Linked DNA regions of Callithrix jacchus. The protein of the gene in region 2 binds, or shares a complex with, the protein of the main gene of each other region. Links are inferred from orthologs where the notes say so. Each region holds a gene or a part of one and is shown on either strand. Other genes may lie near its edges. The genes, in order: KCNE3 and KCNQ1.

Region 1 (14,969 bases), about 63 Mb from region 2:
ATAGGGACACTGAGACCTGATGCAGTCCACAGCAGAGTTCTGGAGGCCCCAGACACAATCCCCAGGTGTCTCAGTCTTCCACCATCCTGGCCCTCTTGTGTTAGATCATAGACACACGGTTCTTGATGTACACATGATAGGGGTCACTACGCTTGTCCACTTTGTGGGAGCGGGTATATCCCAGGACGAGGCTGCCCACAGTGACAGCAAATAGAAACATGACAAAGAGAATGTACATGTAGGAGTTGTCATCACGGCCAAGTAGGCTGGCCCGCTGCTTTTCAGTCTGGTTGTCTGGCCCTGAATCCAGCCCTGGCCCTGGCCGGCAGAGCAAGTTGCTGTGAAGAGTGACATTTAGAGCCTTCAGTACAGCATGCACGCTCTTGTACCAGGTGTCAGTTCCATTGGTAGTCTCCATAGCAATAGTGATTGAGGTGGGGGAAGACTTGGTAGAAGCTCTGGTGGCAAGAGAAAAGAGAGAGGGGATGGCTCTGTCATCTGTAACTTGAATGACGTCATCCCCTCAGATCCCAGGTAAAATCCAAACATCATGGCTGATATGGTTTGGCTGTGTCCCCACCCAAATCTCATCTGGAATCATAGCTCTCACAATCACCACATGTCATGGGAGGGACCCGGTGGGAGGTAATTGAATCATGGGGATGGTTTTTTCACATGCTATTCTCATGATAGTGAATAAGTCTTGTGAGATCTGATGGTTTTATAAAGGGCAGTTCCCCTGCACCTGCTCTATTGCCTGCCGCCATATAAGACATGCCTTTCCTTCTCCTTCACCTTCCGCCATGATTATAAGGTCTCCCCATCCATGTGGATCTGTGTCCATTAAACTTCTTTTTCTTTATAAATTACCCAGACTTGGGTATTTCTTCATGGCAGTATGCAAATGGACTAATACAATAGTTTGTTCTAGCTACTTGATTACATGTCTGTTTTCTTCACTAGGCTACACACTCAAAGGCAGGGCCTATATTTGTTTTACTCACTGCTATATACAATCACTTATGATGGCACTCAACAAGTGCTCAATAAATAATTGTAGAATAAAGTCTTCCCTGACCATCAGAACCCATATTAATCTCTCCTTTCTTTGGATTCTATAAATCACTGAACTTTAGTTTAGAAGGACCTTAGGGATTATTTCATGTTAACTCTTGCCATTTTATACACAAGGAAACTGAGGCCTTGAGAGGAGTAAGTTGCTTGTCCATCATCACAGAATGTTAGAGACAGAGCCAAGACAGAAAGCCCTACTCTTTGTGGCTAGCTTAGAGCTGCTTCCATTTCCATGCCAGCTCTCAGCAGGACTGCGTGGCACTGTTAGAAGACATTCATCATGTTGACCAGGATGGTCTTGATCTCTTGACCTCGTGATCCAACCGCCTCGGCCTCCCAAGAAATAAGTATTTTAAAGAAGATAAAATGGTCAGATCTGTGCCTGGAAAGGATACTCTGGCTGTCATGCTGACTGGAAGGAGCTAGAGTTGAGGCAGTGAGCCCAGCTACAAGAGTCTTGAAATAGTTTAGTGCAAGATGCTGAGTCATGAGTCGGGGCAGAGAGGATAACAAAGTGGGGGTGGGGCTAGAGACAGATGTGAGACCTGAGGAGGGAATGGCTAACCTAAGGGTTGAAGGGCGAAGGGGCCTCAGGCAATTTCACAGGTAGAGACAAACCCTGTTAAGTGTCTGGAGGAACCTACTTTGAAGGAAGTAAGTTCCTTTGCCTAGTGGGGCTTCGGTTTCCTCATCTACCAAAAGAGATCATCATGGAGTTGTACAGTAGGTATAGAGCTTCAGTTTTGCAAGATGAAAAGGTTCTGGAGATCTGCTGTACAAGGTGAATTTGGTTAACACTACTGAGTGTACACTCAAAAATAACTAAGATGGTACAGTTTTATGTTAGTTTTTTTAAAAAAAAAAAAAACACAATTAAAAAAAATAGGCCTGGTGTGGTGGCTCATGCCTGTAATCCTAACACTTTAGGAGGCCCAGGTGGGTGGGTCACCTGAGGTCAGGAGCTCGAGACCAGCCTGGCCAACATGGAGAAACCTCGTCTCTATATCCAAAGGACTATAAATCGTTCTACTATAAGGACACATGCACACCAATGTTCATTGCAGCACTGTTTACAATAGCAAAGACCTGGAACCAACCCAAATGCCCATCGATGATAGACTGGACTGGGAAAATGTGGCACATATACACCATGGAATATTATGGAGCAATAAAAAACGATGAGTTCGTGTCCTTTGTAGGGACATGGATGAATCTGGAGAAAATCATTCTCAGCAAACTGACACAAGAACAGAAAATGAAATACCTCATATTCTCACTCATAGTCGGGTGATGAACAATGAGAACACGTAGACACAGGGAGGGGAGCACTACACACTGGGGTCTATTGGGGGGAATAGGGGAGGGACAGCTGGGGGCAGTTGGGGAGGGATAGCATGGGGAGAAATGCCAGATGTGGGTGAAGGGGAGGAAGGCAGCAAATCACACTGCCACGTGTGTACCTATGCAACTATCTTCCATGTTCTAGACATGTATCCCAAAACCTAAAATGCAATAAAATAAATAAAATAAAATAAAATAAAAAACTAGCCAAGCACATGCCTGTATTCCCAGCTGCTCAGGAGGCTGAGGCAGGACAATCGCTTGAACCCTGGAGGTGGAGGTTGCCGTGAGCTGAGATTGTGCTACTGTACTCCAGCCTGGGCAGCAGAGCAAGAGTTCTGTCTCAAAAAAACAACAAAAACAAAAACAAACAAAAAACCACAAAGAAAGATGATCATCCTTGCCCTCCTCCTTCAAGGCTTGCTGTGAGCATACACTTGTATTATGTAGAAGAGGATTAAATTAAAAAAAAATTTTTTTTTAGAGAAGCAAATATGTACATGTAGGTTAGAAGAAAAAAAGGAATGGACACAGCACATATAGTGAAGGTGAAAGCTCCTAGTCATCCCGAGCTCCATCTAGGGGAAGGACCATTCAGTTTTCTTAGGTATCACTGGAAAGGGGCTTTAACTGACAGGGAGAGGGAGGGAAATCTGAGTGTGGAAGACTCACCAGACAGCTGACAAATCCGCTGGCTCTCAGTCAGTTTCAGGCTCTCTATGTGGACACCCTAAGGCTCCTCAACCCCCTAGCCTCTTCAGGATGTCACTGGACACATCTGGGGTCTCAGTATTGACTTTAGACCTGGGAAAGCCCAGAGCTGGAAAGCAGGAGAGAAAGAATAAAAGGAAGGAACCAGTTACAAAGCACAAACTTCAGAATCGGAATGGATTGCCCAAGGCCAAGCCCCAAGGGTTGTGCAATAGTCCCGCTGTGCCTCTGACCTCTCCCACCGCTCCTCCCCTTCCTGCAGCAGCTGGGTCAGGCCAGCCTAGGGTTGCAGTTAAAGGAACTATGCAGTGTCCAAGGGGCCTCTAATTGCTGTCCCCCAACTCCAGACTCAGAGTGTCTTCATTGGGTGACTTCATGAGAAACCTGTTAAACATGTGGACTCCCATTCAGGGGCCAGCTGATGGTGCGGCCTGAAACGTTCCCTTTCTTAAGGGTTACCATAGCAAGGGCCTTTTAGAATCCTAAGGGAATGATGTGAATGGGAGAATGCCTGCTGGCAGCTGAGTTGATATTTTACATAGGAACAAATGATGTGTTACCACCCAATCTATTTGGATGGACAGGGTATGAACACTCAGAATGAACACTATCTGTAGCATAGCTTTGATGTGAAAATTAAAAAACATGATGTAGTGCTTGGCACTAGACAGTACACAGATGGTGGTGGCTTTATTTTTGTAGAGCAGAGGCTGGAAGGGCCTTCAGAGCCCTTCTAGGCTAAATACCCTCACTACAGAGAAGGAATGGAAACCCAGGGAGTTGTCCCAGTTCAGCAGCTCCTTGTGTGACTTTGGACATAGACTTCCCTTTTCTGAAGGGGTTCCAGTTGGTTCTAACATCCTGTGATGGTATGAAGCCACATGATGAGACCATGAGAAGTTGGAGAGGCTGGTGGGAGAGGCATCTTGGGGGCTTTCTAGAGCCTCTCAAATCCCAAGATAGAGAAGGTTGTGGACCTTTTCCTCACTAGTTAAGATGCTTCTGAGCCCTGGGACTAACTTACACCTAATATTCCAGCTGAGCTAAAGTGAGGGACTTACTCATTTTTCCTCTTAACAGCTTACCCTGCAGGGTGATCTAGCCTAAGGAGGAGATAGACCCTGCAGAAAGTAGGGGAAAAGGCCAGTGTGGAGGGCAGGGTAGGCTTTGAGGCAGGGTTCCATGAGGGGAATAAAGACTCAGGAAACCTTTCATGCCTCAGGGCCTCTCTGAAGAGACCAGGATGTTTGTGATTCTGACAGGAGGACAAAAGAGGCCATAGTTCCATATCTCCAGGTCCTGGGTTTGTGTGGGAGGGAGGGCCTGGGTGCATGGGCCTCCTGTCTGAGTTAGGAGAGGCAGAAAGCTGATGAAGTCATAGGTTGGTTCTCTATGACCTGCCTCTGGGGCTCAAGCTGGGGACTGGCAGTCATCAGCAGAGGAGTTTTGCCACTGTTTCCAAGCTCCTTGGCTTCCTTCTCCAGGAGAGTCCCTGATTACCAAGCTCCTTGGATGGGGGAGACGGAGCTCCTGCCCTGGAGAGGGCTTGCCTTGAAATGGAAGATAGGCCAGTGAGGAAGGAAGGTGAGCAGATGGCCAATCTGAAAGGGACTTTAAGGATCATCTAGAATCTAGATACCGAGTCAACCCCTCCTTTTCATAGATGAGGAAACTGAGGCTCAGAAGGGAGAAGTGACTAGTCCAAAATTACATGGCCCATAAATGGCAGCACTCAGACAAGAACCCAGGTGTTTGGGATACTGTTCAGGTGCTCTTTCCACTACAAACGGCAGTGTTCCCTCGCATCAAAGCTTCACATCACACCAGACACAGCCTCTTAGGGTTGTGGGGCATCATCTCCTCTAACTCTATTACTATAGCCTTTTCCTGCACCACAGATTCTTGCCAATCTTAGTTAAGGATCCAGTGAGATGGAGGTTGGTAAGCTTGGGAGGAGGAGTTAGCCTTCCTTTATGCTCTCATCTCCCATGCACCCAACTGCTCCAGACCTACTCCAGATTCCCCAGATGAGCCAGGTCACTCTCTGTTCCTGCTATTTCCCACACATTAACCAGTTCTCACAAAATGTACTTGTCTTGCAGTTGTTTAGCTTCTAACTTGGAAGTTGGGGGATGAAGCTGTGATCTGAAGGATGGACTGGGGATCTTAGCGGGGTTTTCATTCAGGTTGCTCTGGAGAAAAGTGAAACTCTACACTTGGGTCTTTCCCATTGTTCCGTTTTAGCTACTCTTTCAAAATGAGAGTCTTCAGTGTCTGGAAATGGAGTAGAGAGGCAGGTAGAAAAAGATCACATAAAGCAGGTAGGCAATCCAAAGACAGCCCCTGGGATGCACAGTTTTGCCTCTGTCCCCTTGGTGGTCTTATCCCTCCTGCGGACTGGAGAGCTGATGGAGTGGGAGGGGAGTTAAAGGAGTAGACCTTAGCATCCAGTTGGAAGGACACAGGAATAGAATCTGAGCTGGAAGAGATCTTCACGATCATGTTGTTGGTACAACTCCCTCACTCAACCAGTGGAAGAATAGACCCTCTTCCCCAAGGAAATCACCTGCTTAAGGTCTCACAGCCCAGCAGTGGCAGAGCTGGAGGCAGAAACCAAGTAGCTTATGCTGTTTTCTTAAACGAAAATGCCCTTCCTCTTTTGACCTGCCTGGCAAACTCCTACTCATCCTTCAAGACCCAGCTCCAATGTCATCTCTGTAGATTTTCTCCTGGGACACCTCCTTCCCCACTCCCTAGCCAGTTAGTCTCTCCCTCTTGTTTGTTCGTTAAAGTGCTTTGCACAAAGCCTTATTAGAACACTATACTGTACTGAAACTGTGTGTGTGTGTGTGTGTGTGTGTGTGTGTGTGTGTGTGTGTAACTGTGTACTTTGAGGTATGAGGGTAGGGTCCTGTGCTTCATACATTATTTTATTTCCCAGCCCGGATACCTAGCAGGCATTCAAGAATAAGAATAAATGAATCAATGCCACTTCTGTAAGTGCATTCTCCTGCTCTGGCACATGCATATACATTCATGAAAACAGCTTACAATATTTAAAAAGCAACCTCCAGATTTCATTTGGTCTGGGGAAGGGATGGCTCAAAGAAAAGAAGCCATCTCAGTCAGGTGGGGTGAGTCAGAGGAGGAAGAATTCTAAGCCTTCTTTGGAAGCCCAGACGCTTTCTGTAACTGGACCCCATTCAATCCAAAGGGCAAACATTCTTGGCTTCAAAACACCAGCAATGGCTTTGTAACCCTCTTCCCTGTGTACCTACCCAGGGTGTGGCCACATACACCTGCCCACTGCACACACACACAGTCCAACTCTCGGTCCCTCAGCCTGTGATCTTGCCTTTCAAGTGTTCCTTTCATGATTCTAATCTTGGCTGTATGCTTGGCTCTGTGTCCTTGAGCACTGCATTTACTTCCTCTGAACCTAATCTATAAGTTGGGAATAATGATCCCTGCCCTGTCTACCTCACATGAGAACTAGAGGAGACAATAGTTGGGAAAGTTTTAGAAACTGCAAAATACAAGATAACTATCAAGCAGCCTGGTCACACTGTTTCCTTTTCTGTCTCCACATCTTTTCTTTCCCCCTATATTACCAAGAACAGCCATCTCTATGTCTCCTTTCTTACCCCAGCTCTCCTAGCCTCAGAAGCAGCCAGGAGGTTATTATTACTATTCTTGATTCCCAGAAACCTCAACTTCACCAGAAGGCTTCCTTGTTTCTCACCCTCTCTGATCATCCCTGCAGTCCCTTATCATTGAGGGGTACCATTCTGTAGTCCTGTAGCTGGTGGAGAACACATCAGAGAGGGAATCAAGAGACCTGGGTTCCTGCCCCTATTATGCCAACACATCTAGCGGTGGATTTTGGTTAAGTAACTTTATCACTCTAGGCCTCATTTTCCTCATCAATAAGATCAAGTTTCTTGTCTTGCTTCCCTTGTAGAAGGTATTTTAAGCACTCCCACATTAACTTTATGGATGTGCTTTAAGAAGTATGGAGTGAGTGAGGGATGGAGAAGGGTTGAGGTTATCACCTCAAGGAGTCAAGAAACTGAAAGCAGTTTCCAGAGCTCCAGCATGGGTCTCCTCCATCAGGAATAGGCAAAGTGGAGGCATACAAGGAGATGAGGAGCTCACACAATTACAATAGGCCTTTATAGGTGAAGTGGAGAGAGCCCTGGGCTAGGACTGTGGAAACTTGGGTTCTAATTCTGTCTGGTCGCTATTGCAACCTTTGGTAAATCGTCTCCCCTGGGGCATCAGTTTCTCTATATGCAAATTGGTAGAGTTGGGAGGGGATTTTAGGAGGAGATACTCTGGTGGAGTTTCAAGCAAGGACTAAACTCATTTTTTTTTTTTCCTTTTTCTTTTTTGTTTTTTTGAGACGGAGTCTTGCTTTGTGTCCAGGTGGGAGTGCAGTGACCCAATCTCAGCTCACTGCAACCTCTGCCTCCTGGGTTCAAGTACTTCTCCTGCCTCAGCCTCCCGGGTAGCTGGGACTACAGGCACGTGCTACCACGCCCAGCTAATTTTTGTATTTTTTAGTAGAGACAGCGTTTTATCATATTGGCCAGGCTGGTCTCGAACTCCTGACCTTGTGATCTGCCCGCCTCAGCCTCTCGAAGTTCTTGGATTACAGGCATGAGCCACTGCACCCAGCCAACTCATTTATTTTCAGGGTAAGAGACTCCCAGGTCCAATCCCCCTTTCCTCTCCTGTCCCATGGAGTATGCAGGCAACAGGAGCAGGAGGCCCATTTTACAGATGGTGACCCAGGAAAAGCGAGCACAAGGCACAGAGTGGAGGGGTGACTGCCCGGGTTTACACAGCCTGTAACTCAAGTCTCCCGACTTCCAAACTCAACCTATGTTACTAGCAGCAGAAGATGCTTTTGGGAGTCGCCTGCTTTCCCCGGACTAGGTCAGACAGAGTGAGGGACACAGTGAGGTAGAGGGAATGGGCAAGTGGGCTTCGCAGAGCCAGTGGCTCCGGCCAAATAAGACTGCACTGCGTCCTGAAGTGTCGTTTCTGCGCGTGCACTGGCTGCCAGACGCAGATGTTCGCTTGCCTGTCTGTGAGTGTGGAGGAACTTTTCTCGTCACCGTCTTGAGGGCTGGGAGTGCCCGCGCAAGTCCCCACAGATTCCAGGCGGGGCGCGCAGATCCCAGCTCCCGATTCCCACTTGCTGCTCTGGGATCACTGTGGTTGGGAAGATTGGGGAGGGTCCGGGAGGACTGGCTCAGTATATGCAGCACCCCCCACACCTACCTCGGGTCCACAGTCTCACTGAGAGCACGCTGTGGCCCTAGGAAGGGAGGAGGGAAGACCCTTCATTTCTACCCCAGGCTGCAGCTCAACCTTCCCAGCTCGATGGGTGCCTTACCTGCCTCTCCGCAAGGCTTCGGGGCGCCCGTTTGCTCGCTGGATACAACGCCCTCTGACCGAGGGTGGCCGGGACGCTGTGATCCTGTGAGCTCCACCAGCCCTGGTCCACTCGGCGGGCGCCCAGCACTGCGCAGAGCACCCTCTGGCTCCGCGTTCCCACCCGCGTGCGGCTCCCTTTTCCCTCCCCCGGGAGTTCCCTCCCCCGGCCCCGCCCGGGCTCCAGCACACCCACTTCTCCCCTGGCTGGCCTTGGGTGCCTCCGCCCAGCTCCTTTGCCCTCCCCCAGCTGTGGGCTCCGACTCTTCCGTCCCCTGCAACGGCTGTTTCCTGGCCCAGAGACCGAAAGCCTCACGCTCCGCTGGGCCTCAGCAAGCCCAGCATGAGGCCGATCACCAGGAGTGGGCTTTGCTCCAGTGTGGCTGTGTGGCCGTGGGCGAGTCGCTGCTCCTCACCAGGCCTTGGCCTCGCTGTAAAGTTGGAACAGTTCCTGCCTGCATTCTTCACAGGCTTATGTCTGGGATCAGATGAGACCTTTGAGTCCGCAGTACTAAAACCAGAGGGTTAACAGCGAGATAATCTAATTCTTCCAAAAACGCTCTTTTCCACACAGGATGCAGAAGGCCCAGTGGGAGAAGAGACATGCCCAAGTGGCAGAGCCCAGACCCAAAATCCACTACACACCCCTCTCTCTCTGCTTAGCACGGGCAGATGTTTCCTCCCACCAAGCCCCAAAAGTTCCTAACAGTGCCTGACCAACTTGTGTTGGGGCACCTTACTCATCTCTGCCCCAGAACAGCTTATTTTCCCACCACACTGCCCTCACTCAAACTGTTGTTTCCTTGCTGGTGACATTGCAGGCTTCAGAGAACAGGGGCAGCCAGGGACAGCTGGGGAATAAGAGCCAGGAGGCTAGTGGCAGAGGAAGGGACAGTTGCAGGGAACGGTCTCCCAGGGACCCTGTGGAGCACCCTTTTACCAGCTCACTGCCTTAGAATAATTAATAACAGCCTCAGGCCAGCTCTCTCACTCCCTTTCAAAGGTCTGCTTCAGGATATCTGAGGCACATACCCTCAATTACAGAATCTCAGAATATATCTTAGAAGTGCTATCCTTTTTAGACCTTCTACGAGGTGGCTATATTGTACAAAATTGCTAATCTTCCTCAAAACATGTTAGTTCCGTATTCTATAATTACATGTTTTGACCCAACAATTCCTTTTTCTCAGTCTGGAGATCAACTCTCAGAGAAGTCATCCTGCCCACCTAAGGATGCAATCTCAATTTTCTTTCTCTTTTCTTTTCTTCTCTTCTTTCTCGCTCTTCCTTCCTTTCTTCCTTTTTTTTTTTTTTTTTTTTTTTTTTTTTGAGACAGGGTTGCATTGTGTCACCTAGGCTGGAATGCAGTGGAGTGATTATGGCTCACTGCAGCCCTGAACTCCTGGGCTCAGGTGATCCTCCTGCCTCAGTCTCCTGAGTAGCTGGGACATGCCACCATGCCCAGCTAATTTTTGTATTTTTTTTATAGAGACTGGGTTTCGCCCTGTTGCCCAGGCTAGTCTCAAACTCCTGGGCTCAAGTGATCTGCCCACCTCCACCTCCCAAAGTGCTGGGATTACAGCACAAACCACTGTGCCTGTCTTGCAACCTGTTTTCAATCTGCCTAAAAATCACCTGGGGAGCTTGTTTTAGTAGATAGACTGTTGGGTTCCACTCCAGAGGTTCTAATTCAGGAAATCTGGAGTGGAGCCCAGAAATCAGCATTTTAAAACAAGATTCCCAAATGACTCTGATACAAATGGTTCTTGAGACTAGCCATGAGGAAACAGTCCTGGTTCAGTCAGGGTTCCTTCTCATATCCTGCACATGGCCTTGTATTTACTCTGTAGGACTGTTTATGACAGTTACTGAAAGTCTCAGATCCTGATCCTAGATTAAAAAAATAAGAATAAAATATTTTTTAAAAAAAGAAAGTAACCGTTATCCACCTCATCTGCTAGATTGTGAGTTCTTTGAAGATAGGGATTGTCTTTTGCGCTAATAAAATCTTAGAACCAAAGTCTTAGAATTGAATCATCTTAGGGTTCTAGAATGTAAATTAAAAGGACTCTCAAGAGTTTCCTAGTCAAATCCCTCATAAGCCTAATGAATCCTTTCTATTTCTTTATATTTGGAGATATATCACCCAGGCTGGAGTGCAGTGGTGTGATCTCAGCTCACTATAGCCTCTGCCTTCCAGGTTCAAGTGATTCTTGTGCCTCAGGCTCCTGAGTAGCTGGAATTACAGGCATGCCACCATATCCAGCTAATTTTTGTATTTTTAGTAGAGTTGGGATTTTGCCATGTTAGCCAGTCTGGTCTCCAACTCTTGATCTCAAGTAATCTGCCCGCCTCAGCCTCCCAAAGTGCTGGGATTACAGGTGGGAGTCACCACGCCCCGCCTCTATTTCAGTTTTGGCATGAGGCTGTCCAGCTTCTCTTGCATACCTCTAGGGAGCTCATTGCCTGCAATGCAGCCAGACAGCTCTGATTGCTAAGATGTTCTCACATTTTAACAAAAACTGCCTCCTGTTGACATCTACCCTTTGGTTCTTGCACCACTGGAGACATAAAAAAATGAAAATGGGTATTTAAAGAGAGTGTGGTGAGGGTTTAGGAAATCAATAAATAGTGCACTATGTCTGGCTAGCAACAGTGAGGATGGAAACTACCTGGGCTGACAGCGCAAGGGGAGGAAGGGGTTACTGGAACCCAGAGAGGGCAGTGGTCGGAAGAGCATCCAGGTTGGAGCTGTGGTCTTTCATAGAGGCTAACCCACAGGGAGACAGCCGGGAGAATAAGTACCTCTCCCTCCCTCCCCTTCCATCCTGTGGTCTTCTACCACTGCCTCCTTTTGGCTCAACCCAGATGGAAGCTCCAGAGCCAGGTGGCCCACTGTGGGTGGAGAAGGGTGGTGGGCCCATGCAGGGACAAGTGGAAGGATCCAGCACTGGCTGTGCAGCTCTCAGATGGGTGGGGTCCTTCCCAGTTCCTTTTCAGCCTGCTCCAGGCGAGGGGTAGGAGGAAGGAGTAGGAGAACTAAGGAATGTGGGAGGAGGCTGCGAGCTTGGGTTTTCACCCCAGACAGGATTAGGAGGGGGACACCCACATGCTCTCTGTCATCTCCAGGCCTTTGCCTATGCTATTCTCTCTGCCTGGAACACCCTTCCTCCTGGAGCTGGCTAACTCACCCTTAGATGCTACTTCCTCCCAGAAATCTCCCCTGTCCTAAATTAGATGCCTTTGTCTGTGTCCCCTGACTGCTCTCATCCCACTAGTCTCCCCTTTTTCACATGTATCATCCTGGTGTGGGTCCCTTTTTTGGGGGAGGATACAGTCTGATATGGGAAGAATGGCCCCAACGTCATGAGCCTCCACATGGTCAGAAAAACATTGCTCTCACTGGGAGAGACTCTAGCCCAAGAGAGGGCAATAGATGGAGCGGCCCCTGGGGGGAAAGAGTGCTGTTTGTTTTTTAGAGCTTCTAATCTTCTACCTCCAAAGTCATCAATATTTAGAAAGCAAGCAATAGATATGGGTATCTTTACTGGAGCTCTGGCTGAACCCACAGAGAAAGGAGGGATCCTCTAATTATTCTTAGTGAAAAGAGACCACCTGAATGTTGCTGACACAGGCACAAGCCAAGAAAGGAGTCAGCCAGGGATCACAGGCTCTGGGACCTGGACCAAGTCACTGCCTCACTTTGAGCTTCTGTGTTCCTCACTTGCAAAACAAGAATTGTGGTCCTGCAAATCCCGCAGGGTTCCAAGGAGCAAATGGACACATGGCTGAGAAGCCACTTTGAAAACCATGAAATGCTTATTATTGGCTTCCCCTCAGATTAGGAGCTCCTGGAAGGAGGGTCTGTGCCTCAGAGGTTATAGACATTTGTTATCCTGCCTAAGTAAGTAGGATAATGTGGCAGCAAAACAAAACACAAAGTGTTGACACTGACTTAAGCTTTGTTTTTAGAAGAATGTGTTTGAGGCTATTTTGGATTTTCCCAGAAGCAGGCCCTGGGTCATGGATTTGAGCACAAGTGGTTCATGTGTGATGTGATCCACGGAAACACGATTAGGGGCGTGGGAAGTAAGACAGGAGAGAATGGAGCCTATAATAAGGTGTACGCTTAGCAAGCTTAGCCCTGCTAGGGAACCCTAGAGGCCTGGGTATAACACACATCCAGAGTTACCCTCATTGGAGGCAAAGGGGTAGGGGAGTCAGTGCTGCCCCTTATCTAAAAGATACCCATATCTATTGCTTGCTTTCTAAACATTGATAAATTTGGAGGTAGAAGATTGGAAGCACCAAAAAAGGGCTGCTTGGGGGACACGAATTCTTTAGCACATCTAGCCAGATACATGGGTTGACAGCCCCAGTCCCTCCAAAAGTCCTGAGACAAAAGGTGCAGATCCTGGCAGGTGGAAATAGACCCTTTCCTTTTCTTTTCTTTTCTCTTCCTTCCTTCTTTCTTTTTCTTTCTCTTTCATCCTTCCTTCTCTTTCTCTTTCTTTTCTTCCTTCCTTTCTTTTCTTTTTTTACCTTTCCTTCCTTCTTCCTTCCTTCTTCTTTCTTTTTCTTCCTTCCTTCCCTTTCTTTTCTTCCTTCCTTCCTTCCTTTCTTTTCCCTCCCTCCCTCCCTTCTCCCCCCCCACTTTCTCTCTTTCTTTCTTTCTTCTTTTGATAGGGTCTCACTGTCACTCAGGCTCCAGGCTGGAGTGCAGTGGTGATATCTTGGCTCATTGCAGGCTTCACTTCCTGGATTCAAACTATCTTTTCACCTTAGCCCCCCAGGTAGCTGGAACTACAGATGCACACCACCATGCCTGGCTAATTTTTGCATTTTTTGTAAAGACGGGGTTTTGCCATGTTGCCCAAGCTGGTCTCAAACTCCTGAGCTCAAGTGATCCTCCTGCCTCGGCCTCCCAAAGTGCTGGTATTACAGGAGTGTGCCACTGCATCCAGCCTGAAATGTCTATTTCCAATAGACATTTGAAATGGCACTGAAATGGAAAGGCTAGGGGAATATACATGGGGCACCCAAAGCACCTGCTCTAGTCTGGAGCAAGACAAGCACTTGATTTCCCCAGAACAGCTTCACAGCTCAGAGACTCTCATGCTGCTGCTTCTGCCTGGAACATACTATGTCTTCTTATCTATCCCCAAATTCCTTACTTATCTTCTGAGGCCATAGTGGACATCGAATGTTTTGGCCTTCCCAGAATTCCTTCTTTTGGGAATGAAATGTATCTCTTCCCTTTGGGGAGTCACCTTTCCCTCCCTGGCTCTCAGCCCATATGGTTCAGGTGGGGCTAAGTCCCATCTGTTGGTTCCAAGGAGGTCGTGACCCTCCTTAGAGCAATTATTTGTCCAGAATCCTTCCTGGGCCTTTGGCTGCATGTATACGAAAGTAGGGGTGGCTAAGCTATAGAATTTAAGTGTGGTGTGAACAGCAGCCATATTTGGCACCACACAGGAAAGAGTGAAGCCAATTTTGAGGTCAGCAGAGCTAAGGGATAGAGAAAGAAAAACCAAGTCCTGATGCCATTGTTTGAGGCCCTGGATCAATCTGTTCCTGAAGTCTATCCACAGTCATTTCAGTTATGAGATCTAAATATTCTCTTTTCACTTGAACCTAAAGTTCTCACTAATTCAGTGTCACTTTGAGCCTTTTCTGCCCTAATCCTCCCTTTTAAGACTTTGCATTTCTTTTATGTCCCCACAGTTCCCTATGCAAGCTTCTCTCAGTGTGTGTAACACTTTACTGCACGTGTTTGTTTACAAGTGTGTCTTCTCTACAAGACTGTGACCTACTTGAAGATGGACCAAGTTGAACCCATCTCTGCCCTCAGGGTCCAGCACAGGCTTGAACCTGGCCAGACCATACCATACATGTTGTCTTCAACTCCAAGCTACATAGATTAAGGGCACATTAGTCAACTGGAGCCTATGGAGATAAGGGCAGTGGTGTGCGGTCTGGAAGCCATGAAGAACATAAGTAGAATCAGCAATGCTTAACTTGAAGAAGAGACCACTTCTAAGATAGAATTCATTTCCTGATTCCACAGACTGTTTCTGGACACCTCCTCTGTGGGAGGCCCAGGACTCGGGGCCGAAGAAGTTATGGATGACATAGAGCTGCCTGGAGAGCTCACGGTCTGGATGGGATGAGGCATGGAAACAAGGAACTATAATAGAGTGTGGTCAGTACCACCAGAGAGGGATGTAGAGCATGGCCAGGGATTTTTCAGAGGTCTTGCGAGGGGGGCAGAATTATTTGCCACAATGTTAGTGGCAAATTTCAGTTTTGGGGAGTAACTGTCTAACGATCAGAACTGTGCAAGAATGGAAGGCTGCCTCAGGAGGTAGTAAATGCTCTCTGTCTGGAGGTGTGTGAGCAGAGCT
Region 2 (14,241 bases):
GATCAGTGGAACCAGCCCTACCCGGGGTTGTGCTAAGTGGGCAGGTGGGCAGCTGCCCCAGCTCTCAGACAGAGCGGTCCCCGCCTGGCATCTGCCAGTAGGACGCTCCTGAGGCCAGGCTAGAGATGGGCCAGGCCCTGAGAGTCTCGAGCCACCCATCCCAGCCTGGGGCTTCCCCACCCCTGCCCACCTGCTGGGCAGCAAGGCAGCTCCCTAGCCTCTGTGTGCCCCTGAGCCTCGCTGCCCAGGCCCCTTCCAAGAGAAGAGGGCAAAGGGGCTCTAATGCCACCCAGAAAGTGGTGTGCCACGTGGGCCCTCCCCCCCAGCTCTGCCACTGACTCCATGATCTCTGTCGCCACCCTGAAGTTGACACAAATGTCCGCACAGAGCAGCCTCCGAAGGGCTGCGAGACTGTGGATGTGACAGCTCCGTCTCTGGCACAAATGTCAGCCCCAACCCAGATGCAGAGAGGGAGGGGGGTGGCTGAGCGTCCAGGAGCATGAGGCCACGTGGCACCGGCTCGCGTCAGCGGATACGGCACACACAGACCCCTGGGGGCTGTGACGAGGTGAGGGCTGAGCCGAGGGAGAATCCAGGAAGCTGGCCTGGCCAAGAGGAAGAGAGGGGAGGCCCCGGTGGCTGGAGCCAGCTGGGGGAGGGGAGGCAGCAGGGGCTGGGATCCCTTGGCTCTCACAGCCACGATACAGACTCCGTTGTTTGTTCAGGGTACAAAGGGGGCTTCTCCAAGTTCTCAGCAGAGGAGCAAGACCTCTCTGACCAGGGAGATGCAAAGAGAGGTTATGAGGTCGCCTGGGAGAGGGTGGGTTCCGGCTGCCCTTGCCACTCCCCCGCTGGACACCAGGATGAGCCTGTCGTCTCTCACCTCCAGAGAGCAGGGCCCTGGCTGCCAGCATCAAAGCGTGTACAAGAGTGTTCGTTAGAGCAGATCCGTGTAGTCTCCACAGTACAGGAAGACTCGTGGGAACTTTGTGCTGTCGACCCTCGAGGAGCACAGGGCTGGGGCACCGACCTCCGATCTGCCCAGGCGAAAGCCCGAGTATAAGTTTTGACTGCCCAGAAACTTCACTAATAGCCTCCCGTTGACTGGAAGCCCTTCCAGTAACATAAACAGTCAATTAACACATATTTGTATGCTACACATATTACAATAAAGTAAGCTAGAGAAGCAACGTTAAGCCAGTCATAAGGAAGAGAAAAGACACTCGGTGTAAGCAGATCATCGTGAAGGTCTCCGTCCTCATCATCTTCATGTTGATTTGGCTGAGGAGGAGGAGGAGGAGTGGCTGTTACCATCTCGGTGCCAGAGGAGGAAGAAAATCCATGTTGAAGTGGACTTGTGTTGCTCAGGGTCCATGATATACAAAACGGACATCCTAATCCAGTGGGGAAAGGGTAGCTCATTCCGTAAATGGTGGGGTATCAAGAGGATAACCCACAAAAGTAAGCCTTCAGGTCAGAATCAATCCCATGTGATCCAAAGATTTAAGGGTAAAACACAAATCAGGAAAGTGTTAGGAACAACGTTTTGGCATTGGAACGGAGGAGGCCCTTCCCAGCACGCACAGGGTCAGAAGGCAGAAAGGAAAAGATGGATGGCTTTGACCACATGAAAACCTGAAAACATAAAACCTCTGTGTGACAAAGCAAAAAAAACACCAAATGCCATAAACCCACTCATAAGACAAATAGTACACTGGGGAAAAACGTGTGTGATGCGTACTTGACGTCTCCTTGACGTGCAGAGTCCTTACAAATCAGTGAACACGAAAAAGCTCATCTTTGCTGAGCACCCGCCCTAGGAGGGAGTGGGCGTAGGGGGCTTGTACCCCTTCACGCCAGCCTTGGCGCCCCAGGAAATTGGCCAGGGCCTCATTTACTGATTCAACAGATATTTGTGCAGCACCAACTCCACGTATTTACTGGGCACCTTCTAGGCTCCAGGCTCTGGGAGACTGTCTGGAATTGAGATGGTGACCGCGTGGCCTAGAGCTGGGCCTCCAGCTGGTGGCAAAACAGCAAGCGAGGAGATCAATAACCAGGCCATCTCTGGGAGGGTGAGGGCCGTGGGGACAGACACGAGGGAGGCCACCCAGGATTTTGAGCTAAGGTTACACAAAGCAGCAGAGGACGGTGTTCCAGGCCGAGGGAACAGCGGGGGCAAAGGCCCCAGTGCTCGACCAACATGGTCACACTCAGTGCTGGGGAGGGGCCAGTGGAGGAGACACACAGGAGACTGGGTTTTACTCCCAGTGCAGTGGGAATTCTGCAGGGGAATTTGGCAAATCATCGCGGGAGGGAAAACTCAGTCTGGCTGCTGCCTGGAACACGTGGGGACGGGTTGGGGGCACAGCCACACGGCGAGGGGGTTGTGACAGTCCAGGCAGAAGATGCCGCCAGCCTGGGCAAGGGCCGTTGGGAGTAGGCTCAGAGCACACACTCCAGACCAGAGAGCCACAGACACCAGGTGCACACAGGGAGCCTGAGTAGTCGGTCACACCCTGTGGGTGCAGGATTCGGGCCGGCTTGCAGGGAATGAGCTCCCGCTGGGACACGATAACCTTCCAGGCTGTTGGGCGGCATGCCTCGGAGCCCTTGGGGAAAGCAAATAGCTGATGGGAAGCCCTCGCAGAGGTCCCAGCAAGGGAACCAGAGTTGTGTGTGATGGTCCTGAGAATCTCCCACAGCGGTCAGCCAGGGACGTGGCGCCCCTGAGGCCCTCGGGAGGCCAAGCATGGTCGGTGGGCAGGGGCTGGCAAAAGCAGGTGTCGGCGGCAGGGGGAAAGGTCTTTCATCATCCTGGCCCTCTCTCAGAGGGAAGCAACCCCGCTCCTGGGGGGTGGTCTGCAAGGGCCAGCCTGGCAGCTGCAGCCCCAGGAAGGGTGCTGGGGTGGTGCCGACCAGGCCTCCACCATGTGGTCGTGCTGTGCCAAGGACATGCTGGGGATATAACTGACCATGAGTGGTGTGGGTCCCCAGCTTCAGCAGGGCTTCTTCTGGCTGCTCGGCAGACAACAGCAAGATACCAGGGATGGCAGCGAGGACAAGGCTGTGGTCTGCAGCCTGAGCAGACACACTCAGCTCAGCTCAGTGCCTGCCAATTCAGCCCCTCCATGAGCGCCAGTCCCAAGCCCTTGCACAGTGGCTGCCACATTGTGCTTGACTTTCTGGGTCAAGACTCACCCAGCTTGGACACTGCCCAGTCGAGGGCTGCAGGGGACAGGTGGAGCAGCTGGTATGTGGGTGACCATGGGTCCCAGAGTCAGTGCCATCTGTCTCCCCTTTGGGAGAGGACCCCTGGCACCAGCCCACGCACCCCTGCTGTGGGACTTGCCGCTTGTCCCAGCAGCACTCCAACTCCTGTGAGGGGGGCGGGGGCTGCTCACTGCCATAGCACATGCAAAGGCCCAGGGGCCTGGGGGCACAGGCAGGTGCACCCTTGGGCAACTCAGAGAAGAACCTGATGGGAAGTGAAGGGAATTGTGCAAAACCACCACAGGTGGTCCTCACATTCGTGCACAGTCTCCCACACTCTAGAGCCACAGGCACACATGTGCAGACTCACCCGGCATGCCTCCCGTGTGCACGACAATGCTCCTTTGGCCCCAGCTGCCAGGCACACATGTGTGACTGTATGTGCGCACTGGAGCACTCCCTAATGATCATGGTCGCCAGGTGTCTCGCCAGGCACCAAGCTCCACGCTGTCCCTGGTGTCCTCGTGTGTCAGGCTGCTTGATCCCCGCAGCATCCTCCTGGGGAAGGGGCTGCAGCCACCCCCACTTTATAGGCAGGGAAACTGAGGTTCAGAGAAGCAAAGTGACTCGCCCAAGGTCACCCAACCAGGAAGCAGCAGTGGCAGGATCAGACGGCAAGAAGGCTGCTGCACACTCCCTCGAGGAGGTGTCATGCCCCGGCCAGCCTGTGTGCCCAAGGCCCGGCAGTGGTGTGCCAGGCTCTGAGGCCATCTCACACTGGCCACAGCACAGCAAGTTCCAGCAGGCCCGACAGTAAAACCTCGGTCATGAGCGACACGGTCGATTTTCACGCAAGAACTGAAGCACTAAAGCAAAATCAAACACGATGGGCCGCACCCTGCCATGAGCTACCAAGTGCTGTGACCTGTTGCCGCTCGTGCCCGGCTCGAGCCGGGGCTGGCATCCAATTGCTCAGAGCCTGGTATTCAACATTCTGGGTACCACTGTGAGGGGAGCTTAGTAACTTCCTCAGAGTGGACAGGAGGAGGGCCAAGGTGACCTTTGCTCTGTGACCCTACAGAGAGCCCTGGGAAGGCCCTGCCTGGCCTTTAGACACTGCCCAACAAGGATGCCAGAGGGAGCAGTGAGTTTGCTGCACCCTGGGGAGCTGTGGCCCAGGCAGAACACAGGAGCCCCACCCTGGGAGCCATGGGTGTGCCCGGCCTCTCCTGCCTGTCCCTGGCCAGTCTGGCATCCACGAGACTGGGGCCTTTGGCGGTCCTAGGCGGGGATCAAGGCCAGGCAGGTTCTGCAAAAATTTCCCTTGAAAGACTCTTTTTCAAGATTTTCTTTTGAAAACAAATTCATAACCACATCAAACAGGAATCCCCGTTGCCTTGGGTTTGATCGCTGGCCGCCCGGGGCTCCCTAACTAGCTGTTATTCTAATTGCTTTTTTCTTCCGAGGGCTGCATAGGTATCTTATGGTTATTAATTTGGTGAGTGCAGGCTGGGCACAAAGCAGCTTTTGTCTGCCTTGCCTTTTAATCACTATCAAATTGCAAATAATGGCGGGGGCTGAGATCCCCAAAATTGATCTGTCCCAGCAGCTCTTGGGGAGCCAGCCCCCATGCCCCGGGCAGGCACTGCCTTCCCCAAGGGCGGCAGCTCTCCGATGGCACCTGCCGGGATGCACCTTCCTGTGGGTGGGGTCCGGTGTCGGCCACACGGGGTACCTCTCAGGCTCCTGCATCACCACCAAAACCAAATATGCCTGCAAGACAAAGGTACCCTATGCAGAATGGGGGTGGGAGCCTTCAGGGACCCATGCCATGGCAAGTGCTTGGGTCAGAGCTGAGCCTCAGGGGCTGCAGAGGAGCCACCCTTAGCCCAGACCTGGGCCCTTCCCATAATGGGAGCAGCATCCTGATGCCTCAGATGTGGACCCGCCCTGGGCTTCCAGCCCACATCCTGGCCCACTGCCGGGGCCTTGTCTCCAGCAGTCAGGATCATGAGAGCATGTCTCTGGGGCCAGAAACCCAAAGCCAGCCCCTCAAAGCCCCAGGCACCACAGGCAGCAGTTGAGGTGAGCTTGGGACCGGCCAGAGCCGGGTATGTGCTGATGCTGGCCCAGGCAGCTTCAGCGAGAGCTTCCGTGTCAGTCGGAGGCGAGCGTGGCCCTGTGGCTGCCTCCCTACCCCAAAGGTGGCTGAGTGCCTCTCTCCACGGTGCCAGGGCTCCCTGCCGGGAGGAGCTGTCACCAAGGTGGCTCAGCCACACCCTCAGCCTGCACACCCTGCCCGTGGCCCTGCCCCCCTCCCAAGCATCCCTTGTGAAGGCCTCCATGCCCATTAGCACATGTGGGCTTGGACAGATGTTCAAGTGCCGTAAAGTGAAAATTTATGAAACCGCAAATGTTCATCTGTGATGTATTTGGTGCTTTAATTAATGCCAAACCAATCGATACCCAAGCTGGGGCCTGCGCAGTTAGTGACAGTAAGCCAGGCAGAGCCGACCTCGTTCAGCGCTACCAGCATACAGGGCCCAGGGAGCTGGGTGGGCCTAGGACACAGAAGCTGGGCTTTGCCCTGGAAGACCCAGGCTGGCTGCACCTTTGATCCGCTATGGTCTCATAGGTCTCTGGGCCTCAGTTTCCTCCTGTGCACCCTGAAGACCGGGCAACCTCCCATGCCCCTGTCATGCACAAGCAGGTTGTGGGACTCAGAGGGCTGGGCCTGCTGACAGCGGGAGCCACAGGGGCCAGGGTGTGGGTGAACGAGAACAAGACCTCAGGCTGTCTCCCCTCCCAGAGGCCCCGCCCCACCCTGCCCTCTGCTGTCCCCAGCTCCCTCCCTGTCACCTACCCTGTGTCCCTCCTCCCCCTGCCACGGCAGCTCCGTGGTCTCCAGATGGAGACTCGGGGCAGGAACTTCAGGGAAAAGATGGGAGCCATGGTACCCTCAGCAGTGACCCTGGCCCTCTTCCTGGGCCTCAGTGTCTGCATCTGTGCGATGGGGTGTAGACCTCTGTGGCTGGTCCCCAAGTGGCTTTTCAGGGCACTAAAGCGCTGGCTGGTCCTTGCCTGTGAGGGAGCCTGGTGTAGGGCCCTGGCCCCTGCCCCTTTGCCGAGGAAGCCCTGCACCCTTTCCTACATAGCCTGGGCTTCACATCAACACCATCAGGTTGATCTGGGGAAAATAAAACATGGGGCTCCCTCTGGCCTGGACCATCAGACCTGGGACGTGCCCCTGCCCCTGGGCCTGGGACAGAGGTGTCTCAGACAGCCCATATCTGAAGACAGAACTGCAGGGGAGCTGGAAGCCTCCATCCAACAGCCCCCTCCACCCAGGGCTGGGAGTGGGTCCCCTGGGCCCGTGCTCTGGGCAGGGCACAGTCCTACCTCCCAGGTGGAGGCTGCCCACCTAGCCCTCTAGACAGACACTTGGCCCCACTCTGGCAGGAGCCCCCTCATCTCAGCCTCTCACAGTGCCCTGCTGGCCACCTCTCCCCTACACTGCTCAGCCTCCATGGTGGCGGGGAGGGCTGATGACCACAGCACCCAGCCTCTGAAGCTGGCCTGGGCCTGCCCAGACCCTGGCAAACTGGTTGCTCCCTCTCTGGCCACCTCGGGGCTCGTGCCCACAACACTCAGCAGCATGTTCCCTCGGGTGGTCTCACCCGCACAGCATCCAGCCCTGGCCCACACCTTGCCCCAAGCCTTTCCGGCTGGATCTGCAGGGGGGCCGGGCCCCCAAGGGGCCAGGCCTGCCCGGAGCAGCCTGGGGTACAGACATGGAGAATGCACAGCCAGGTGGCCCCAGCTCCCGCCTGCCGCCTGTCCTTAGGGCCAGTGGTTGACGCTGTGGCTGAGTCATCTTCGTGCCTTTCCGCAGAGCCACACTTTTCCCAGAAGCAGCTCTGCTGTTCAGCCCTTATCAGGTGTGATCTGGTTGCCCCTCCTCCACCACTTCTAGGCCTTTCCAAGGCACCAGATACCCTAGGTGGGGGAGGGTCTCCTTCATTCTCCACAGAGCATGCTGCTGAGGGGCTTTCCTGTAAGAACGCTGCAGGCTGAAGGCCCAGCCCTGTCTCCTGTGACCACCATCAGAGCTGTTTGTCCCCACTAGACACACTCATGCTGGGGCCCCAGGTCCACCCTCCTGGTGAGAGGGGTCCCCAACCTGGACTCCCTCCCCTGCACTGGTCTGCCCTGGGGTTGGCCCTGCTCCACCCAGCACCTGCTCTGAGGGTGCTGGCCTGCCGGACAGGCTCTCCCACTCTCCCCATCAAGGTTGGATGGCCACTTCCCACCTGGGGACGGGCTCCAGCCTCATTCCCCAGCGGTGCTGTCCTTCCAAGGAGCTCTCAGACCACCTGGCTCTCCACTCACCTGGGGCTTTTCTGTTGACTCCGAGGCCCGGCGAGGCCTCTGAGCACCTGCTCTCTGAGCCGGCTTCATTTCAGGCTCTGTCCTGCCTTGACCACCTTTGCTGCACGGCCACCCCAACACGCAGCTCACTGCAGAGCAGTCCCTGAGAAGGCGAAGAGCACATAGCTAGCCAGAGGGTGCGCTGGGGGGCACTGCCCTGGCCACAGGGCATGGATGCAGAAGGCATCTGGGAAAATAGCAGTGCCCAGCAGGTTAAAGAAATGGTATAGCGGTGCCTGGGGGGTGACAGCCCCACCCTACCCCCTGGCAGAGAGCATCGCAGAGGCACAAGCCCTGGGTCTGCAAGCCCCTCCTGGAAGTGGCCCAGTAGAGGTATCCCTTACACACCAGGCAGAGCCCAAGGCCTCTGCCTTCTCAACCACCTGAGGCCCTGCCCATGAACCAGCCTTGCTGAGCTCTGCCCTCTGCCCAGTTCTCCTCCAGACTGAGTAGATGAGGCCCCAGCCTCCCTTGACCCTTACCCTAAGCCTTGCCTCCAGAAGCCAAAGGCTGCCACAAACACAGATATTTCAGGTCTGGGTCCCTGGTGCAGACCCTGTGATGTAGGGATATGGCACAGATGCTGAGCCAGCCCCAGGGGGCACAGGAGGAGGAGAGGAGGGCCCTGACCGTGAGCCTCCACGCCTGTGGACACACAGGCACTTTGACATGCACGAGATGGACTGCAGTGGCCACACGTGCACATTCCTCACACACACATGGGCGTGACCAAGGGCCTTGCAGACATAGGGTGTACACATGCGTGCCGCCTGCACACAGCAGAGACGGTTGGCACCTTCTCTTCCCCGGCCCCGAGCCCAAGCCCAGAGGCTGCCTCCTGCCACCAACTCTCTCGTCTGCCTTTGTCCCCACAGGTGACGCAGCTGGACCAGAGGCTGGTACTCATCACCGACATGCTTCACCAGCTGCTGTCCTTGCACCGAGGCGGCCCCCCTGGCGGCAGCAGCCCCCCCAGAGAGGGTGGAGCCCACATCACCCCGCCCTGCGGCAGTGGCGGCTCCATCGACCCCAAGCTCTTCCTGCCCAGCAGCGCCCTACCCACCTATGAGCAGCTGACCGTGCCCAGGAGGGGCCCTGATGAGGGGTCCTGATGGGGGATTGGGGTGGGCCTGAGAGGGGTGGCGAAGAGTGGCCCCACCTGGCCCTCTCTGAGGGGGGCACCACACGGCCATGGCTTCCTCCTGAAAGGCCCAGAGAGGAGCCCCGCTCTCATAGGCCCCAAAACCCCGTGGGCCCTGCTGTCTGCACAGCCTGAGCCCGGGGGCTCAGCAAGCTCACCTCTTCCTGGCCGGTGGGTACTAGAAGCTGGCTGGGTGTGGGGGGCCCCGTCTCAGGCCTGAGTTCTCATCCCTACTGCCCTGGCCCCCACATGTGATGCTGACATCACTGGCATGGTGGTTGGGACCCATCAGCAGCGTACCAGGCCTGGCCCACCTATGGCCAGGAAGTGGCACGAGCTGAGCACAGACCCAGACTGCTCGGGCCAGAGGGCTTCCTGAGGGGAGGCAGAGCAGCCCCTGGACCCCAGCCTCAAATTCAGGACCCTGCCAGGCACAGGCAGGGCAGGACCAGCCCTCACTGACTACAGGGCCACTGGCAATAAAAGCCCAGGGGCCCATTCAGAGGTCCTGGGGCTGGCTCCCTCACTCTCAGGAAATGCCGGCCCCCATGGGCAGGAGGGGACTGTGCAGGCTGTTCCTGAGCCCCCAGCTTCTGGCAGGAGGGACAGTCTCGCCATCTCCCCAGGGCACAAGGCTGAGTGTGGGAAATGCCCCCTTCCCTCCCTGTCTTAGACTGGCAGCTCTTCCTGGCTAGAGAGAAGCCCCACCCCCAACCCCCACCCCCCAGCCCGCTCTGCACAGGGCTCCCGCCTCCAACCCCTCACCCAGTCCAGCAGCCAGCCAAACACACAGAAGGGAACTGCCACATCCCCTCGCCAGCTGCCGAGCCGCTGAAGAGTCACGGTTTCTGCAGGGAACAAGGGTTCCTTCTGGGCATTACATCGCATAGAAATCAGTAATTTGTGGTGATTTGGATCTGTGTTTTAATGAGTTTCACGGTGTGATTTTGATTATTAATTGTGCAAGCTTTTCCTAATAAACATGGAGAATCACAGGCTGGGCTGGGCACTGCTCTCACCTTGGTTCCTGGGGCATCTACGGGGTCTCTGGGACAACATGGGGCTCAACCTCCATATCCCCAGCCTGCTCCTGCTGATGCCTGCGGGACTGTAGGTTGCTTCCTCCCCAGGAGACCCCACGCACCCACAGACAGGACCCCCAGGGTCAGAGGGGCTGCAAGATGCCAGTGTAGGCTGTAGCCCAGCGATGTCGCTCCTGACCTGGGCTCTGGCAGCCCACCCTTGGGCCTTGACCCCTGGGCCTCCCATATGCTCACCCCTGTCCTCCTCTGGGCCTCTGTTTCCCCATTGGTAACACAATGCTCCCTTAGCCTGTCCAGTCCTCTGAGCAGGACAGAGGGGCCACCACCCCATCCACCCAACCTGACCTAGTGGTTACAGCTCTTTGCAAAGCCCTCCTCTCCTGAGGTGGAAACAGCACCTCACTCTCAGACACGGACACACTCAGCCAGGCAGGTGCACCTGCTGTGCCCGCGCCTCAGCTACTGGACCATTTCTTGATCCTTCAAGACTGTAGCCCCAGCCAGGCACGGTGGCTCAAGCCTGTAATCCCAGCACTTTGGGAGGCCGAGACAGGTGGATCACGAGGTCAAGAGATCAAGACCATCCTGGTCAACAAGGTGAAACCCGATCTCTATTAAAAATACAAAAAATTAGTTGGGCATGGTGGCGCATGTCTGTAGTCCCAGCTACTCAGGAGGCGGAGGTTGTGGTGAACCGAGATCGCGCCATTGCACTCCAGCCTGGGTAACAAGAGCGAAACTCTGTCTCAAAAAAAAAAAAAAAAGACTGCAACCCCTTTCTGTCCTCTTTCCAGAGCCCACCCCGAAGTCCCAGGCCATCAGGACTGGGGGCATCTGAGCTCTCAAAGATGGGGCTGTCCTGGGTCCACTGGAGGCAGCAGGCAGCCAGCAGCAGGTGGCGGGGACAGGAGCCCCAGGTTTCTGTTTGGAGTGGGGATGGAAGCCTTGTCAGAGGAGAAGCCCTAGGTCCCACCTGGTGCCGAGCCTGCTGGGCCCATGCCCCCACCCATGGGCCTTGGCATCCGGCCTGGCCAGCACTGAGCAGGACGCAAGAGGTGGAGGGGCAGCGTGGGGCTGCCCAGGCTTCCCCTGCCTGCACCCACCCGGGAGGAGCAGGAGCCACAGTTACTGAAAAGGCAGGAGCTGTTGTTTCCTTGTTGGGTAAATATTTGTGGAAACCCCGGATGCCGGCCGGAAAGCAGAGCCCTCCACAGCGCCCGGGCCCCCCAGCCCCTGCCGCCCACCCCGGGACCCCAGCCCACAGGGAGCTCCGAGGGACCGCCCATCTGGGCCAGGCGAGGCCCCGGCACCCACCCCGCCTTGTTGTCCGTATTATGGACTGTGCACAGTGCCCGAAGACTCCACTCCTGGACCGGCCATTGCAGCCCTCTCGGGTGTGAAATGCAATTTACCTGAAATAAAGCCCAATTATGGAATTAGCTAATTAAAGCCTTGGTAGAGGCTGGGCCCAGCCGGCCGGGCACTCAATGCCCGCTGGTGCCCGTGGACTGAGGGAACAGATGGCGCCTCAGCCCGCCATGCCGGCCACATTCCTTCACTCTGTCCCCCGATAAGTGACCTAGACAGCACACGACCATCTGGTGTGTGGCACGTCCTGCAGGCCCCGGACAATGGCCCGGCAGACCTCTCCGAGAGAGGGCCGTCGCCCGGGTAACGGTGGCATGTGCAGCCCTGGCCCATTCACGGCCCCTCCCGCAGCCCCTTTCTTCGGGCCCTTTGTGGCCTCGCCGCGGCTGCCTGGCTACTCTGGCTGAGGACAGCCGAGAGTGTGTGTCCGCAGAGCAGGGCTTTGTCTCCAAATTGGGCTCCCTTATTAAGGTCCTCGGGGTCCAATAGGTGCCAGGAGCATCTGCTGGGGGTGGCTGGGGGAGGGGCTGCTCCTGCTTCCTGGGCACCCACCTCCTCTGCCAGGCTCCCCTCCCCCATCGCCTGCCCTCAGATGGCCCCTTGTGGACACTGGGCGTGTCCCTGAGGAAGCCAGTCTCCATGGCTGGCACTGGCCAAGCCCGAGGTTCTCCCATCTTCTGGCCAGGGGGCCAGGAGGAGGAGGCAAGGGCCGGGCCTGCCTGCAGCCCCTCGCCTCCCACCCCAACCCTGTCTGCAAAATGGGGAACAGTAAAAGTGCCACTGGAAGGGGTGTCACGGACAGGGGCTTGATGGAGGTGAGACATGTCAGCTCTGGGCCTAGGCCAGGCACACAGCAGGGACTTAATAAAGGAAGCCAGGCAAACCACCTGGGTGGGTGATGCTGGGCTCTGCCTCCTCAAGGCACTCCTGCCTGGCCAGCCTGACCCCTCGGAGCTCTTTCCCAAGGCCCCTCCTGCATCCAGCCTCACCCCACCAAGCTCCCTGCCCCTCAGAGCCAGGGAGAGCTGTCCGGCTGGCAGCTCCCCATCCTGCTCCCAAGCCAACTGTGGCTCCCCACTGCCAAGCAGGCCTGTGAAGTCCCACAGGCTGCAACCCTGCCACTCACCCTGGGCATCCCCTGCCAGGAGCCCAGCTTCTCCTGCCTCACCCTGTACTTGATGTCCAGCCCCAAGCTCCCAGGAGGCACCGTCCTCCTCCCCACTCAGGACCACCTCTGAGCACCATCTTGGCAGGCAGCCCCCCACCAGCATGGCGGTCAGGAGTCAGGCCCACCATTGGGGTGTAGGGTCTGTGCTAGGCCTTTTGGGCCCCAAAAACAGGCAGGCGGCTAACAGTGCCTATTACAGGACTGGCCCCAGCTGGGTGCCCAGGAAGTGCCAGTTAAATTAAGAAATAAAATAAAAATGTAGATGGAGGCTGCCCCCCATTGCATGTGCAGCAGAGGTACCAGGACCCAGGCAGGGCATCAACAGGCATCCCTCTAAGGGACAGGAGAGGGGCCCACACCTGTGCCCTGAAGGAGGGGGTCTGGCCAGGGGTTTTGATCTGGAGCAGCCGAACAGCTGCTGGAGGGAACAGAAAAGCAGCTGAGATCCAGGGGCTCCTTGGGATCTTAAGCGTGTCTCAGCTTCACCATTCTCGGCCCCTGACAGACCAACCCTGCTCTTGCCTCTGGCCCTATTCCTGTGGCCCTGGAGGTCCAGCGAGTTGGGAGATCAGGCCTGTGGCCTGTGTCTCAGCACCCTTCACCTTCCCTGTCCCTGGGCCACTGCGTCCCCACCCAGGTTAGCCAGAGTCCCTGGCAGCCAGGCCTGGAGTATGCTGGGGGCAGCCAGAGCCAAACAGAGCTTCCGTTTCTGCTGGCCTCTGCATGCAGACAGCAAGGGCTAGGACCCCTGGAAGCTGACAGGTGGAGCCCAGCCCTTTCCAACTCCTTGTGAAGCCTCAGGGAGGAGGCCTAGAGGGCCTGCAGTCAGGCAGGACAGGAGGGCTGGGGGCTGCCACCCCATCCCAAGGCCTTAGAGGCCAAGGCAACAGCCCATGCCCACCCAGGGACTGGCTGTGTAACAGGAGGCCTGTTGACCTCAAGATCCTTCTCTGTCGATCCTGCTGTGACCTCCTGGCCCTGGCTGTGTCGCCTGGCCCTCCCTTCAGCACCCCTGCGAGGCACCAGCCTCCTGCAACTCCCCTGCCCTGAAGCCCCCACAACTCAAGGCACCTGAGCGAGGCAGAGGGTGGAGGAGGTGAGCTGCCCAGCCCCAGGCAGCCCTGCTGGCCTCCAGGGAATGCTCCGGTCCCCTCCCCTCCTCTTCCTTCTAGACCCTCATCCATGGCTTCCAGAGGGGACAAGGGTGCCCTTTATTCCCAGAGCCAAGCCAAGCCCTGCCCCCAACCTGTCCCCAGGCTTGGGTTTCACACGTGTCCAGGCAGCGAGCCCTAGGCCCAAGAAGACACAAGCTGGGCCCAGAGGTGTCCGGGGATGGCTCAGTGGGCAGAGTCCATCCTGGTGCCTTCTGGGGCCTCAAACACCCAACTCCTTCCACTTCCTGGGAGTGGCCCCAAGACGCAGGGGGCAATGCCAAGACGGAGTTCAGGGCTTGTCACCTGGGTACAGTGACCCCCAGCTGCATGACCCCACACTCTGGAAGCCCCCCACCTTCTCCTCTCCCCACCACCAGCCCCTCTACCACGTTCCCCGTGGCACACTCCTTTCTAGCCTGCAGGATACTTGTGGTCTTTCTGTGGTATCACAGCCGAGCAGCATCAGGGAAGGAGGTTCAGGCTCAGGGAACCAAGCTCAGCTTCGCCTCCCACCCAGGCCTGTGGCCTGGGAAGCTGGCGGCGGCAGCAGCAAATCCATGGCCAGGAGGTAACAGGTGTCCAAAGACAGATCACACCGAGGGGAGAGACCCAGCGCAGAAAGGCCTTAGAGCTCGTGAGGTCCCCACCTGGTACAGACGGGGAGACCAAGGCAGGGGAAGGCCGGGCCAGGGCAACACCTGTTCTGTGACTTCGCTTTGGAAAAGC

What was found.
Region 1: the proteins of KCNQ1 (region 2) and KCNE3 are in contact, whole or in part, in a cryo-EM structure (PDB 6V01), measured with the Homo sapiens proteins. The link is inferred for Callithrix jacchus from reciprocal best matches to the Homo sapiens genes KCNQ1 and KCNE3. Residues at the interface, in NP_000209.2 of Homo sapiens: Arg116, Pro117, Thr118, Gly119, Trp120, Cys122, Phe123, His126, Phe127, Phe130, Leu134, Leu137, Ile138, Val141, Leu142, Ile145, Gln147, Tyr148, Arg181, Met238, Val241, Asp242, Gln244, Thr247, Lys362, Asn365, Ile368; in NP_005463.1 of Homo sapiens: Asp54, Asp55, Asn56, Ser57, Tyr58, Ile61, Met65, Phe68, Ala69, Val72, Gly73, Leu75, Ile76, Leu77, Tyr79, Thr80, Arg81, Ser82, Arg83, Val85, Lys87, Asp90.

Annotation. Positions count from the first base shown.
Region 1 is NC_133511.1:66,457,751-66,472,719, reverse strand, and holds the start of KCNE3 (potassium voltage-gated channel subfamily E member 3), read right to left. Parts: upstream 8,682-14,969; 5' UTR 8,528-8,681; intron 8,344-8,527; 5' UTR 3,088-8,343; intron 2,754-3,087; exon of another isoform or gene 2,619-2,753; intron 459-2,618; 5' UTR 419-458; coding exon 101-418; 3' UTR 1-100. UniProt on the Homo sapiens protein: Ancillary protein that functions as a regulatory subunit of the voltage-gated potassium (Kv) channel complex composed of pore-forming and potassium-conducting alpha subunits and of regulatory beta subunits.
Region 2 is NC_133511.1:129,005,948-129,020,188, reverse strand, and holds the end of KCNQ1 (potassium voltage-gated channel subfamily KQT member 1), read left to right. Parts: intron 1-8,516; coding exon 8,517-8,753; 3' UTR 8,754-9,777; downstream 9,778-14,241. UniProt on the Homo sapiens protein: Pore-forming subunit of the voltage-gated potassium (Kv) channel involved in the regulation of cardiomyocyte excitability and important in normal development and functions of myocardium, inner ear, stomach and colon.